Drosophila melanogaster: one gene and its partner. Changing the gene in region 2 together with the main gene of any one other region gives a genetic interaction. Each region holds a gene or a part of one and is shown on either strand. Other genes may lie near its edges.

What was found.
Region 1: of qm (region 2) and Fpps, changing one enhances a phenotype caused by changing the other (phenotypic enhancement), as found in Drosophila melanogaster (one study listed by BioGRID).

Annotation. Positions count from the first base shown.
Region 1 is NT_033778.4:11,304,813-11,309,563, forward strand, and holds Fpps (farnesyl pyrophosphate synthase), read right to left. Parts: upstream 2,717-4,751; 5' UTR 2,631-2,716; coding exon 2,449-2,630; intron 2,148-2,448; coding exon 2,053-2,147; intron 1,980-2,052; coding exon 1,768-1,979; intron 1,709-1,767; coding exon 1,347-1,708; intron 1,287-1,346; coding exon 1,060-1,286; intron 1,000-1,059; coding exon 818-999; 3' UTR 699-817; downstream 1-698. Other genes in the region: CG7741 (uncharacterized protein), read left to right, coding at 1-267, 326-483, 539-680; CG7745 (uncharacterized protein), read left to right, coding at 3,135-3,285, 3,344-4,713.
Region 2 is NT_037436.4:7,346,556-7,354,327, reverse strand, and holds qm (quemao), read right to left. Parts: upstream 6,016-7,772; 5' UTR 5,719-6,015; coding exon 5,653-5,718; intron 5,466-5,652; coding exon 5,311-5,465; intron 3,925-5,310; exon of another isoform or gene 3,526-3,924; intron 3,060-3,525; coding exon 2,915-3,059; intron 2,862-2,914; coding exon 2,601-2,861; intron 2,534-2,600; coding exon 2,431-2,533; intron 2,358-2,430; coding exon 2,230-2,357; intron 2,094-2,229; coding exon 1,935-2,093; 3' UTR 1,595-1,934; exon of another isoform or gene 986-1,594; 3' UTR 706-985; downstream 1-705. Other genes in the region: CTCF, read left to right, coding at 1-286, 349-450; Srp19 (signal recognition particle 19), read left to right, coding at 6,407-6,471, 6,544-6,961; CG14834 (uncharacterized protein), read left to right, coding at 7,283-7,772.

The DNA of each region.
Region 1 (4,751 bases), on a different chromosome or scaffold from region 2:
GAACATTTTTATCTTGCTCTGGCCAAAGGACCGATTAACAAACACCATGTCATGATATTGTCCACCAAGCATGTGCCCTGCGCTGCTCAACTAAGTCCAGATGATTGGAAGGAGCTCAACAAGTTCAAGGCAGCTTTGCGAAAGTTCTTCAAAACGTTAGGCCAAGTGGTGTGTTTTACTGAACGGCACTATAAATCGGTTCACCTACAAATCAACGCGCTTGCCTTTGAAGAAGGCTATGCCTGGAAGATAAAACATAGTTTTGAGGTATGCTCACGACATTCAACCTTTTATAACATATGATGTATATCCCACAACATTGCAGGATAAGGCGGAGGAATTTAATCTGGAATTTGAGACACTTCCCGCATTGGATTCTGAGAAAATGCTGCCTGAAATGGGACCTTATTTCCTGGCCGAGTTACCCGACGATAGCACACTTATAACGCGGCAAATGAAACACTTTCCCATTCATTTCGCAAGGTGCGTTAACTTCTCGATTTAAGCTACCAACTCTTGACTAAACTCATTTTTTCAGGGACGTGTTCTGTTCGGAGAATCTTCTTAACTGCGATGAAAAAGTGAACTGGAAGGATTGCCTTCTCGATAAGGACGAAGAAGTGGCGTATGTGGAAGATTTCCGAAAGGCTTTTGCGCCCTTTGATTTTACAGACGATTAAGCAAAGAACATTGTATGTATAGTAAAAAGTTCATATCGGTTGTAATTGCTGAGCCCTTGCTAACAGTTCATCCATGTAAATGCTAAAACTACAATTTAATTAAAAACGTATCCGTAAAGTCGTTGCGCTTGAGTAATTTAGGAGTCACGTTGGTAGATTTTGTTGAGTATTTGCAGGAAGGTCTGGTGAGGCACCCCGCGTGAGGTTTGTTGTATGTGCGTTTTAATCATGTTGTAGGATTCCTCCTCGAAAATGGCATAGGTGGATGGCAGTCCAAGTTCCTTGTACAGTTCTTTCACTCGCTCCACTTTAGCTGGTTCTGCAGGTTAATATTCAAAAGTCAATGTCTAATTGTGCGGGTTTGCTAAGCTAGTTTTACCTTCTTTGCCATAGCAATCGACCATGATTTGCTTTTGCTCGACATTGGCTCGCTGCATTGCCACCACTGCCAGCCACGAGCACTTGTTGTCCTGAATGTCGGTTCCAATTTTACCAGTCACTTCCGGATTACCGAAGCAGTCGAGGAAATCATCTTGAACCTGGAAAAAGTTGCCCATTTCTAGGAGAATGGTCTTCGATTGACGGAAGGCCTCTGCGTCTTTATAGCTAAACAATAGAGCGGAAGATTAATAAGCGGAATCTTATATATGTATGGCCATTACTTACCCAGCCAAGTGCAAAGCAAGTGCGAATGGAAGGTAGAAGGAGTAATAGGCAGTCTTATTTTCGACAATTGCTTTGTAGTTTTCCATTGTGAATTCCGAGACACAGCGGTTCGAGTTCAGTTGGTCCAACGATTGTCCGCAGGTAGTGATGTATGTGATTTCGTGGAAGAGCTCCATTAGGGCGACATAGCAGTCCAAGTGGCTGAAGTGCTTCTTGAGAATGGCATACATGGCGTTTTCAATCATAAGAGCATCGTTAATGGCAGTCAGGCCCACGTTCTCCACCTTGTGCCAGCAGGGTTGGCCGCGTCTGGTGGTGCTGTTGTCCATCACATCGTCTGAGATGATGAAAAAACTTTGGAGCTGAAAAGATGATCGATAACTTTGTATTAGGAAAACTATTTAATGCATAAAACTCCTACCATTTCCACACACCAGCCCAGATACTGGGCGAGCTTTATGTTCTCCGGCGTAAGATCCTGGGTGGGCACTAGATTCTTATACGTGAGCACGGTGAGGATGCCGCGGTTCTTCTTGCCCCTGGGCACATTGTACTGGAGGACTTGGGCGAACCATTTGGCTGCGTCGCTGCAATTGTATGCCTTCGTCACGGTGGTGATGTCACGCACAAGATCTGCACATCGAAATATAATTAGCATTAGTATTTGCATGATAATTGTTACTGGGCATAAATAAACAAATCTCACCTGGGAACACGGCCATAAAGTCGCGACTCTCATCTTTCGACACCGTGACGCGAGCGGCAATGGGAACCGAGTGATTTTGGAGCGTCGATAAGGTTCTGTGGACAAAACAAAAGTCAAGAACAATAGAGCCCATAACTGACACCACCAGGCAGGCACAAATACATACACACACACATGCACGCATCTATGGTCTACGTGACTGCATAAGCGGCTCGATACAAACTTTCTCCCCCACTTGAAATCAAGAAAAAAAGACCCCGAAACTCCTTTTCGAAAATCACGCCCAAAACAGGCCTCCGATACATGCATACCATGCCCATGCCCATACCGGTCGAAATGTAAACAAAACAAACAGGCAAGGCAAAGGTCAAGTGCGAAAACCGGTAGATTGATTACCTGCTAGTCTTCTTCAGCTTCTGTTCGTTGACCAGTTCGGTGGGGAGGCCGCCAATGGTGTCCATGGACTTGATGATGGGCTCTGCGTTGACCTCGTCGCTGGTAGAGATCAGGCGTTGCAGGCGCAGCGGGCTGGCCAGGATCCGCTGCTGCGGCAGGAGCATACGGGCCAGTTTAAACATTTTTATTTAAGATTATCGGCAGGTAACTATCCGCTTCACAAAACGGCAATTCAACTTCGGGTACCAAATTGCCAGTGTGACTGAATCTCGGTTCGCAAAAGAACCCACCTTAAAATTTCAAATAACCATAATACGTTTATAGCAACTATTTTATAGCTGACTTTTATTTTTCGAGAATTTTGTGAAGGTAACTTATAAGTTAAATTTTTAAACATTTTTATTTAGTAAATTCAGGAACAGCAAATGATTTACTTTTGCTGAAATTATTAATTTTATTGCGTGTTAATTAATTAAATGCATTACTATATATAAATCAAAATGCTGACGAATTTAAACATGATGCAAATTGTCGAATATATTTCGATATCAATATCTTCAAATTATATTTGACACTCTGCTGCTACATTTTCGGTCACACTGTTTCGATGTCCCATGAACAGTGTTGGAAATGGCCTGACATACACCAAAGGCAAATTGGCAGCTGAAAACACGAATTAAACTAAAATGATGGATGAGCAGCTAATTGACGAGGTAGCGCAGCACGGAGTGATCTACAACCGGCAGAAGTACTACCTCAACGGCGGCGCCAATGGTGGCAAGTACGAGACGAAGGACGAGGCCTGGCAGCTGATTGCGATGAAGCTGCGCACGGATGGTGAGGAAGACGCGCTCCTCCGGCAGATCCTCTATATAAATGTTGCCCTCCTTTCCAGTGGACACGTGCAAGAAGCGGTGGAAGTACCTACGCGAACGCTACGTGTCGCAGCGGAAGCAGGGCGATCCACCTGTCTACGAACACCTGTCGCGTCCATACCTGGAGAAAATGAAGTTCTTGGACCAGCACATCCAGCCGCGCAAGTCCTACCGCCATGTGCCGAACTTCCTAACATCTCCACAGTCCGCCAACAGCTCCGGCTACAACGAATACCAGGTTGATAAGTCCAATGGCTCCATGAAGAATGTGTCTCAGTTTGGCAGCTCAGGGCAAAGTCATCTTTACCACCAGCCGGATCAGCAACACGCAATGAGTGCTCTGAGTAACGTTGCTGCATCTGCGCTGGAAAACGTCAATGGCCAGGTGAAGATCGAGGCGGACCAGGTGTTCAGGGATTTTGCGGCTGCCGTGGCCTCACAGCAGCTCCAGCACATATCACAGTCACAAATGCAGCAACAGGCGGCGGCCGTTGCAGCTGTAATGGCTGATTCCTCGCAAGGTTATCAGGATCAATACAAGGATGGCTCCGTGGGCATGAACGGGGCCCAGAACAGCGCTGGCAGTCTGACCTCAACATCATCCTCGATGAAATCACCGCTGTCGTCGCCGCTGCAAGGAATTGGGGCAGGATCCCATCATCCTCAGCAGCAGACGCAACAACAACAGCAGCAGCAGCAGCAACAAGCGCAGCAACAGTCGCCGGCATCTGAACAGCAGCTTCCGGTGGTACATTCCTCTTCCAGCGCCACGGGCGCTTCCATCGGCAACAGTTCCACTCTGCAGATGCAACAGTCACATGTCTATAACCCCAAGGGCGATGGTCTAGACTCTTCGTCATCGAGCCATTTCCATATGAAGAAACCCCGTATTCAACTAAATGGCAATGCCCATAACCAGATGACCAGCAATGGTAGTCACTTTGGCAATGACTCGGACGACGAATCCGATGAGAACAGCCATGATCTGATGGAGCCGCAGGCTATGATGCAGCAGGAGAATCACTACAGCAATTCGATGCCCATGCAGCGGGGCAATGGAAATGGGAATAACAGTAGCAGCAATAGCGGGAGCAACAATCCCAGCGGCAATAATAGCCACAACAACCAGCAGCAGCAACAGCACCAGAACATGTTTCCGTCAAACACGGACTTCCTTTTCCAGTTATACCAGCAGTTCCCACATCAGGCCAGCAGTTCGCATCCCGCAAACTTCGGGAAATTCCAGGCGCCGCCCAATCATCCGGGTGTGCAGCGGTTGTCTGAGCATTTGCTGGGAGAATTAGTCACCACGGAACTGCTGAAAATGAACAAGGAACGGAAGAAAAGTGCACAGAAACGGATCCTAGAAATACTATTCTTCGACGATTAAAGGGCTAGCTACTAGGTATTTGTAAATAATGTAATCTA
Region 2 (7,772 bases):
CCGTCAGAGAATCAAGCCAGCACCTATCATTATCAACAAACAGGCCAGGCTTGCCGCCTCCGAAAAGCAGCCGATGATCATCAATCAACGCCTCCGAAGTCAACGGGGCACCAAGACGTTCCACATCAAGGAGGAGCCGGACAACTCGGACTTCACCGTGGAATGGCAAGGGGATGATGGCGAGGTAATGGTCGTAGAGCTGGTTAATGGCGACGAGGAGGTGTTGGTCAAGCACGAACCGAGCGCCAACTCCAAGATCAGTGCCAAAAACTGCTTTGGTTTCGAGGTTAGTTGCAAAAACTTTAGCTGGCATTTGTTCCATTACTCAAAAATTTGGTTTTCATGCAGGACGACGATGATTATGAGGAGTATGGCGATGGGGAAAACGAGGTCGATGGCGCTTCCCAGGAGTTTCTGCAGCTGATGGATATGATTGAGCAGGACTCTTAGTCTCCTGAAAACAAAAGCTAATGGATAAGTAATTATGACTAACTTATGTACATACCAAGCATACAATAACGTATTTCTACGTTACATTGTTTTCTATTTAAATACACATTTAAAACAGTTAGGAAACCTATTTTTACTAGGTTAAGAAATGGATATTAAAAATGTATTCTTTCTAAATGAATGTATAATTCTGGATAAGCAGTTAACATGCCGATATGGCGACTATTTGTAAATGATCCCCGACACTTAAACTTTAGTTGACAACTTGGCATAAATATTTATTTAAATACATTTACATATATTTCAATGTTTTCATTAGTAGTATATAGTATATGGGCAAAATGTTAGGTGCGTTTGCGTTTAGCTGCATCTGGGCGTGCACTGTAAATTCTCGGCTATTAGTTGTCGTTTCTACCGTAAAATGTTCGCATAGTTTATAGTTTTCCATTTCCACTTCAGCAATCTGGTTAATTTTCTTGTTATTTTTCCGGTTTCTCTTGCCGTTTATTTCTTTTTGTTTCTTTCATGTGTATAACTACAATAAAAATATATATATTTTTATATATAATATATGTATATATTTTTTAGGTGGTGCAATGTGCAAAAACCTGCCGTGCAGTGCATCATTATCATTATTTCAATATATATAGTTGCGTTCATTTGTGTTGATTTTATAGTGTCTGCATAAAACATTAACAATTTGTCGTTAATAGTACATATGTATGTATGTATACGAATCGCATTTGTATAACAATTAAAATGGAACAACGTCGATAAAGGAAGTGCACATTGAGTTCCGAGTGAGTTAGATTTGATAAAATGACACTTAGAAATTGAAAATTGCTTGCAGAATTGAGTTACGAATACGAAACACACTTAGAAATACAAGAGCTAAAAAATTGCATATTCTATAATTCAGTAATGCTCTGCGAGATTTGCTTGATCCCCACCCCCCCCCCCCTCTCCCATTCGTTGGGCGAAACTAAAACTGGGGAAACTAAACGAGCTAACTAACTACGTAACTTTGAAGCAAAACTAAATTAAAAGTATAAAGTAAAATGTAAAAGTAAAAAAACAAATTCTTGGAAAGCTGTAATATGGCTCTTTGCTAGCTCAACGATAAGCTTGGCTTATATCAATTTACTTTTGGCTTAACAATTTTCTGTAAGGCTGCTGTTGGTTTTGTTATCCATCCCATTTCATCCGATTCACTATCAAATCCAAATCCTATCCTCCTCCTATTTCCGTTCTCATCGCTCTGGTTTCGGTTGACAGTAAGGTAGGGGTTCTCTGTGGGCTTTTCGGTTTGGCAAAGGGTAACATAAATCTCAGAATATCTTCAGCTTCTGCAGGAAACGCAACAGGGGCGCACTGAGGCACGCAGGCGTCGGCTGGCTGCTGGCCTGCTGCTGTCCCGGATTGGCGGCAAAAGAGGCTCTGCCGTTCGCAATTCACGACTGCTCCCTCTTTTGCCTCTTTGGCTGCTAATTGCAATTGAGCGTGTTCTGGTTGGGGCTGCTGCGTGAGACGTTGTTGTGATTGATCTGGTTCGACTGCGTGATGCTGGCGCTATCGCTCGTCTTCCACGACAGCAGCTTGTTGAGCAGGCGGTCCATGTACGGATTGCTACCCAAACGAGCCACCTGTGTGGGTTGAGAGATTACTTTAGTTTAGCACAAAACACGTAGCAACGATGGGATGTGTGCGAATTTCTACTTTTAACATCATCAAGACTTCCAAGCAACTTCCACTTCCCATTGCTTGTCTTCAAGTACTAACCTCCGACCGAGCCTCTGCGTCGAGCGACTCCAGAACCTTGCGTGTATACTGAAAGCTGCCCAGCTTTTCCAACAAGGTGATGCAGTACTTCTTGACCTCAATGTCGTGCGTGCGCTGGCGTAATATGTCTGTGGATATAACCATAAGCCATCAGCTTAATGAGTGAAAAGCCTTTGGTTGAGGTCAAGACGTTGGACTTACGTAGAACCTGTTTATCCTGCTTTTGGGTGCGAACCGCATGGATTACCGGGAAGCCGAACTTGCCCTCCGTCAAGTCCTCGGCGAAGCTCTTGTTCTCCGTGTACTACATCGGAATGTTATCACAGATTAACAATGACTTATGCATATTGCCAACCAATCTATACACTCACCTCTTTCAGACTCAGATTGCAATAGTCGTCGCGTATCTGAAAGTACAGGCCCAATATAGCCGTCAACTTCGAATAGTCCTCCTTGTTGGAGCTGAACAGCTGCATAAGGCGAATGGCCAGCATAAAGAGGCCGCCAGTTTTGCGCACAGTCATCAGCTTGTAATCCGACTCGGATGGACACGTGAAGCTGTCGCGCCAATAGATCTCCATGCCCTGTCCACGGTGCAGCTCCAGCAATTGTTCGGTGTACACCTTGGTAGCCTGCAAGAAACGCGGATTACTTTGAGCTTCATAGTAGAGGTGGATTTGCGTACCTCCGGATGATCCAGCTGCTGCACCTTCTCCAGCGCCAGAAAGAGTGCATAGTTGGCCGCATTTATGGTGCTGGCCACGCCGTAGATGGAATGCGCCACGGGCACACCTCTGCGAAGGATCGAATTGTCTTCAATATCATCAATGCTGTAAGTTAGTATCAAGAACATACATGTATATAATTTGCCGTGAGTTAATTGTGTACTTGTATTCAAGCTTAATATACTTTCAAGCATTAGATACTACAATTTTACTACCTTACAATCAACTTAGCAAAGAAAGAATTCGAGCCAGTAATGTTTTGAAATTAGAATAAATGTGAAAATATGTTCTTGGTTTTAAGATTCAATAGTTTACTTATCAGCAGATGTTTTTGTATAGCAATTAATTCAGAATTGCACTATATGAACACGTACTGCATAGAAAAGTATGGGTTTTTAAATAGAATTTCACAATTCGAGCGAAGGGAGCCGCGGATTCCATGTGTCCACCATCCACATTCATATTTATAAACATACGTTGGCGCTCCTCATTCCACCAAAATAATGGATGTGTAAATTTAAGCCTCGCTTAAAGGCCGCCATCGCTTCAATAACTACGATGCCCGGCGGGTAAAACGAGCTGGGCAGCCCAACATTTGCGTAATTAAAAAATGTTTGCGCTCCGCCAAAGCTGGCAAAGTCATTGGTAGGGAATATGGATGGTATGGGGACGGGACGGGATTGGATGGCTTGGCACGAAGGCGTGGGCGTTGAAGCGACAACGCACAAAGGGGCCGGGATATGGAAAGGATGGGATGAGGAATGGTATGGTATGGGATGGGGATTGGGTGCAAAGGAGGCTGGTTGGTGTTGGGGAAAATGAGGAAAATGGGCTGCGTGGCAAGAGTTGTGACAATGCCTGTCGACTGGCGACGGCCTGACTAACTGACAATGGGCATAAGTGCATGAATGACGAACGGACGGACGAGGGTCGTACGAGGAGGCACTATGGCTGCAACTGCTGGCGTCGTTGTAAAAACTAAGTTTTTTGCCAATATGAAAATGCATTACTAAAAACGTAAAAAAAAAAAAAAAAGTAGGGAACACCAAGAACATGCAGGCCACTTGGCGGAGGAATGAGACTGCCTGCTGTCTCGAGGAACAATGCTGGGGATTTTAAGCAGAATTAAGGCCATTCCTGAGTGTTTGCCTCCGAATGGTTAATGGCGACAGGTGGCCGGAGGCAGGACGGGATTAGCTTGAAAGCGAGATGAATACTTCCATAGCTGCTGCCTGAAGATAGGCGAAAATCCCTGGTCACTTCGACTCACTTTACTGCCTTCAATTGAAAAGCGGCGCAGACACTTCAATTGGCTGAGTTCAAAGTTTAATTGCGACTGTTTTGTTGGCAAGCCAACATCATCTTATTCATCGCTTTTCCTCCGTAGGCCGCCCTGGGGGAAAAATCTAAATAATTTATGCAATTTCCGAATCCACATTGGATTGCAAAGAAATTCAATTGTAAACAGAGAAACCTGCGGGCTCATGATGAAATTTGAAAATTGATTTGAGGCCAGCGTACAACGCTCTGGCCAAATAATCCACAAATGTGCGAGACTGTGTATATGGTCAAATCCAATTGGGAAAAGAGTGCGAGTGAGTCAACGAAATGATAAAGCAAAGTTCTATATAACATATGCGCGTTGTGGAAACGAACTGAGCTGATGATGATAAGAGTTTCTTCAACGAGCATATGGCAGCATTTTCACATTTTTGGAGCGTGGAGTCTCTACTGTTTTCATCACTTGCCCAAAAGAACTTTACACTCGATTAGGCATTTAACTGGAATCCATCTGAACGAAAGCAAATAAGCCAAATGTATACAAATACAGACTCTGCAAGTGTGAATTGAGATAAAACATGCAGGAGAAGTGGCCAAAACGGGGTGGGGGTCAAACGTTCGGGTGTTTTGTGTTTGAAGGGGGGGGGGGGGCACAAACAAAGCGTAAACAAAGCCAAATAATGGGGAGCAGAAAAACGAAGGAAGGCAAAGGTCAAAACTAAAAAGTAAAGCACGACTAGCATGATTAGTTGGCTGGCAATAAATCGACAGGTATTTAAACTAGCGCTGATTTTATATGGTTTCTTACAGACATATTTTTAGTGAGTACAAAAGTATGTATTGTGATATTTTAGTAAAATATTTTGTTTTAATATTGATATGCCAGTTAGTCAGTACTTTGTTATGATAATATTTATCGCTTAAGTTAACTTTGCTAAACTTTTTAATAGAGTATATACGCAGTATATACACTTTTGGGCCAAAAACACTGCATTGTCTGTAGTTTCATGCTGATTTATTGGCGTGCTATTAATCTGATATAGGGCTATTAATCAGATAATTGATATATACTCACAGCAAACTGGAATTGTGCAGCATCTGCACAATGTCTCCGATCTGCGCCAACTTTTCGCCCGGTATGAGCAACCAGTGATTGAAGGCCAAGGCCAACTCAGAGCGGAATTGCTTGCCAGGAATCTGTTGTATGTATGTAAAGGGCTGCAGCAGAATCTGGATAGCGTTTTGCGTGCGTGGGCCACATGTAAATAAAGCCCAAAATGAAGTGGGTCGAAAAAGAAGGAGAACGGAAGGAAGGCCAAAATAGCTGGTTAGTTTGCTGTTGTGTCTCTCGTTCGCTTGCCACTTTCGAATGTCAAAGTTCACGGGGTCCGGAAGGATTAAGCCGTGGGATAAGTACCTCATCCTGCTCCTTTTGCGTTGATTTATCTTTGGTCTTCTGTAATATGATGTTCAGTTCTTCCATTGTTGTCGCCGTTGTTGTTGTTTTTCTTGTTGCTGCTCCGCCGTGGCCTTGCGTGTGTGCTTTTGTTGTTTTGATAGAGCGCGGGGGGTGGTGGTGTTGGTGTTGATGGAGGGGGGTCACTGCGGTGTGGGGCGTGCTTTTTGTTTACCGCTTGGCTTCGCGACACGCGTGACTAGAATTGCTGGCCGACGCTCGTCGATTGGTTTTTCGCGTTATCCGCACAACTCAAATCAATTACACCACGGAAAGACCAAAAACAGACTGTTATTGAAGTTCTTCCGCGGCCTGCATATTGGAGATGATCGCAAGTCGATGTTTCTATCGATAGGGTTAGGAGGGCTTTTTGTAGAGGTATCATCGATATGACAAGAGATGGGAAATGTGGCTTAATAGATGTTGGCTATTTTCCGCCAACTTCTATTAAACCAGATAAGCCAAAAATTAAAATTACCTAAAATAATTTATTTCATGTACTCTTTTAATTTAAGTCGCTTATAAATAACCTCTTACGTAGTAGCCAGAAAAAGCCATATAATTATTGGCTTCCTCGCTAAATATCGATTACTCGGCCAGCTGCACGTGCCATCCCTATTTCAATTGGGTTGCTTGCGTGGAAAATAGCTTTCTAGCTCATTTTTTGTTAATTACACAGGAATTGCAATAAACCAACCAAGAATTCACTGAAAGAATGGCGACAGCAGTTCCCATGAAAAAAAACTGGAGCCCCAGCATGAAACACAACGATATGGAGCGGTAGGAACCAGGCACTGGCCAACAAAACACAAAGTTCGATTTCGCATGTAACTCTTATTGTTGTTAACACAGATGGATTTGCATATATCCCGCCTACATCAATAGGAAAAAGACACGCCAGGAGGGTCGACGGCTGCCCAAGGAGAACTGTGTAGACAATCCCAGCTATATTGAGATTCGCGATGTGCTGTCCGTTTCCAACTTGCAGTTCCTCATGGAGAACAAGAAGTACTGTCGCGAGAACAGCAGCGAGATGGAGTTCCGTGGTCGTGTGCGCGTCCAGCTGCGTAATGTCGATGGCACTTTGTACAATAATGACTTTCCCACGCGCGAGTCCATCATGCTGCATATCGCCAGCAAGATACCGCAGCTGAAGACGCGACAGAACAAATCCGGCGACTCGTACCACCAGCAGTCGCAGCCACAGTCGAATGCATCCGGATCTGGGGGTGGTGGTGGCGGCAAGAAGGGAAAGGGCAAGCGCCGCTAATGACTTCAGTGGCAACTCGTTGTTTGGTTTCTTTTGTAATAAACGCTGTAAACAAAGATTTATGTGTGTTCTGGGCCAAGTTCAAGTGCGGGAATTCGGCCTTGGCACGCCGAAGTGTGCCAAAAAAAACCGGCACAAAGAACTCAATTAGAGAACCCAATTGGGAAATGTCTCAAGATCACACGAAGTCAGCATAAATTCCGGCGAACTGTAAGCTAGAATCAACTGTCAGTCACGAACATCTACGATTTCACCTGGTCAGCGTTATAAAATCGGTTGCGCATCGCAATTGGCCAGACAGTTTGAACTGGAGCACCCACAATGATGACGGAAAAGATACGGAAGAGCAGCCTCAGTGGCTATACGGTGATACTTCTACTGGCTGCTATTCAGTTCCAAGCAAGTGTAGTGTCCAGCACGACAACCAAACCGCCATCGACATTGGCCACATCCACGAAAGCTAGTCGCAATGTGAATCCCCTGACGGAGTCGAAGCTCGAGAAGAATTGCAAGGCGCTGTGTGAGCATTGCGGCTGTTTGGGCTTCTACTGCGGCGAGGAGTGCCTGTGCGAGTGTAATGACGACCAATCCGATACTGAGTGCATTCGCACCATGCAGATGAATGCCAAGACGTTGAATCTACCATTCGAAATCGTCATCCAGGGACCGAGCAGCAATCGCTTTGTGCGCAACGCACAGCAGTTCGAGCAGAAGCGAGATCTGGTGGCCAGGAGCGCCAGCACTTCAATGCAGTCGCCTCGAAATCGTCGCTCAAACATAACCATCTACAAGCCCTCCACAAAGTTGGTCA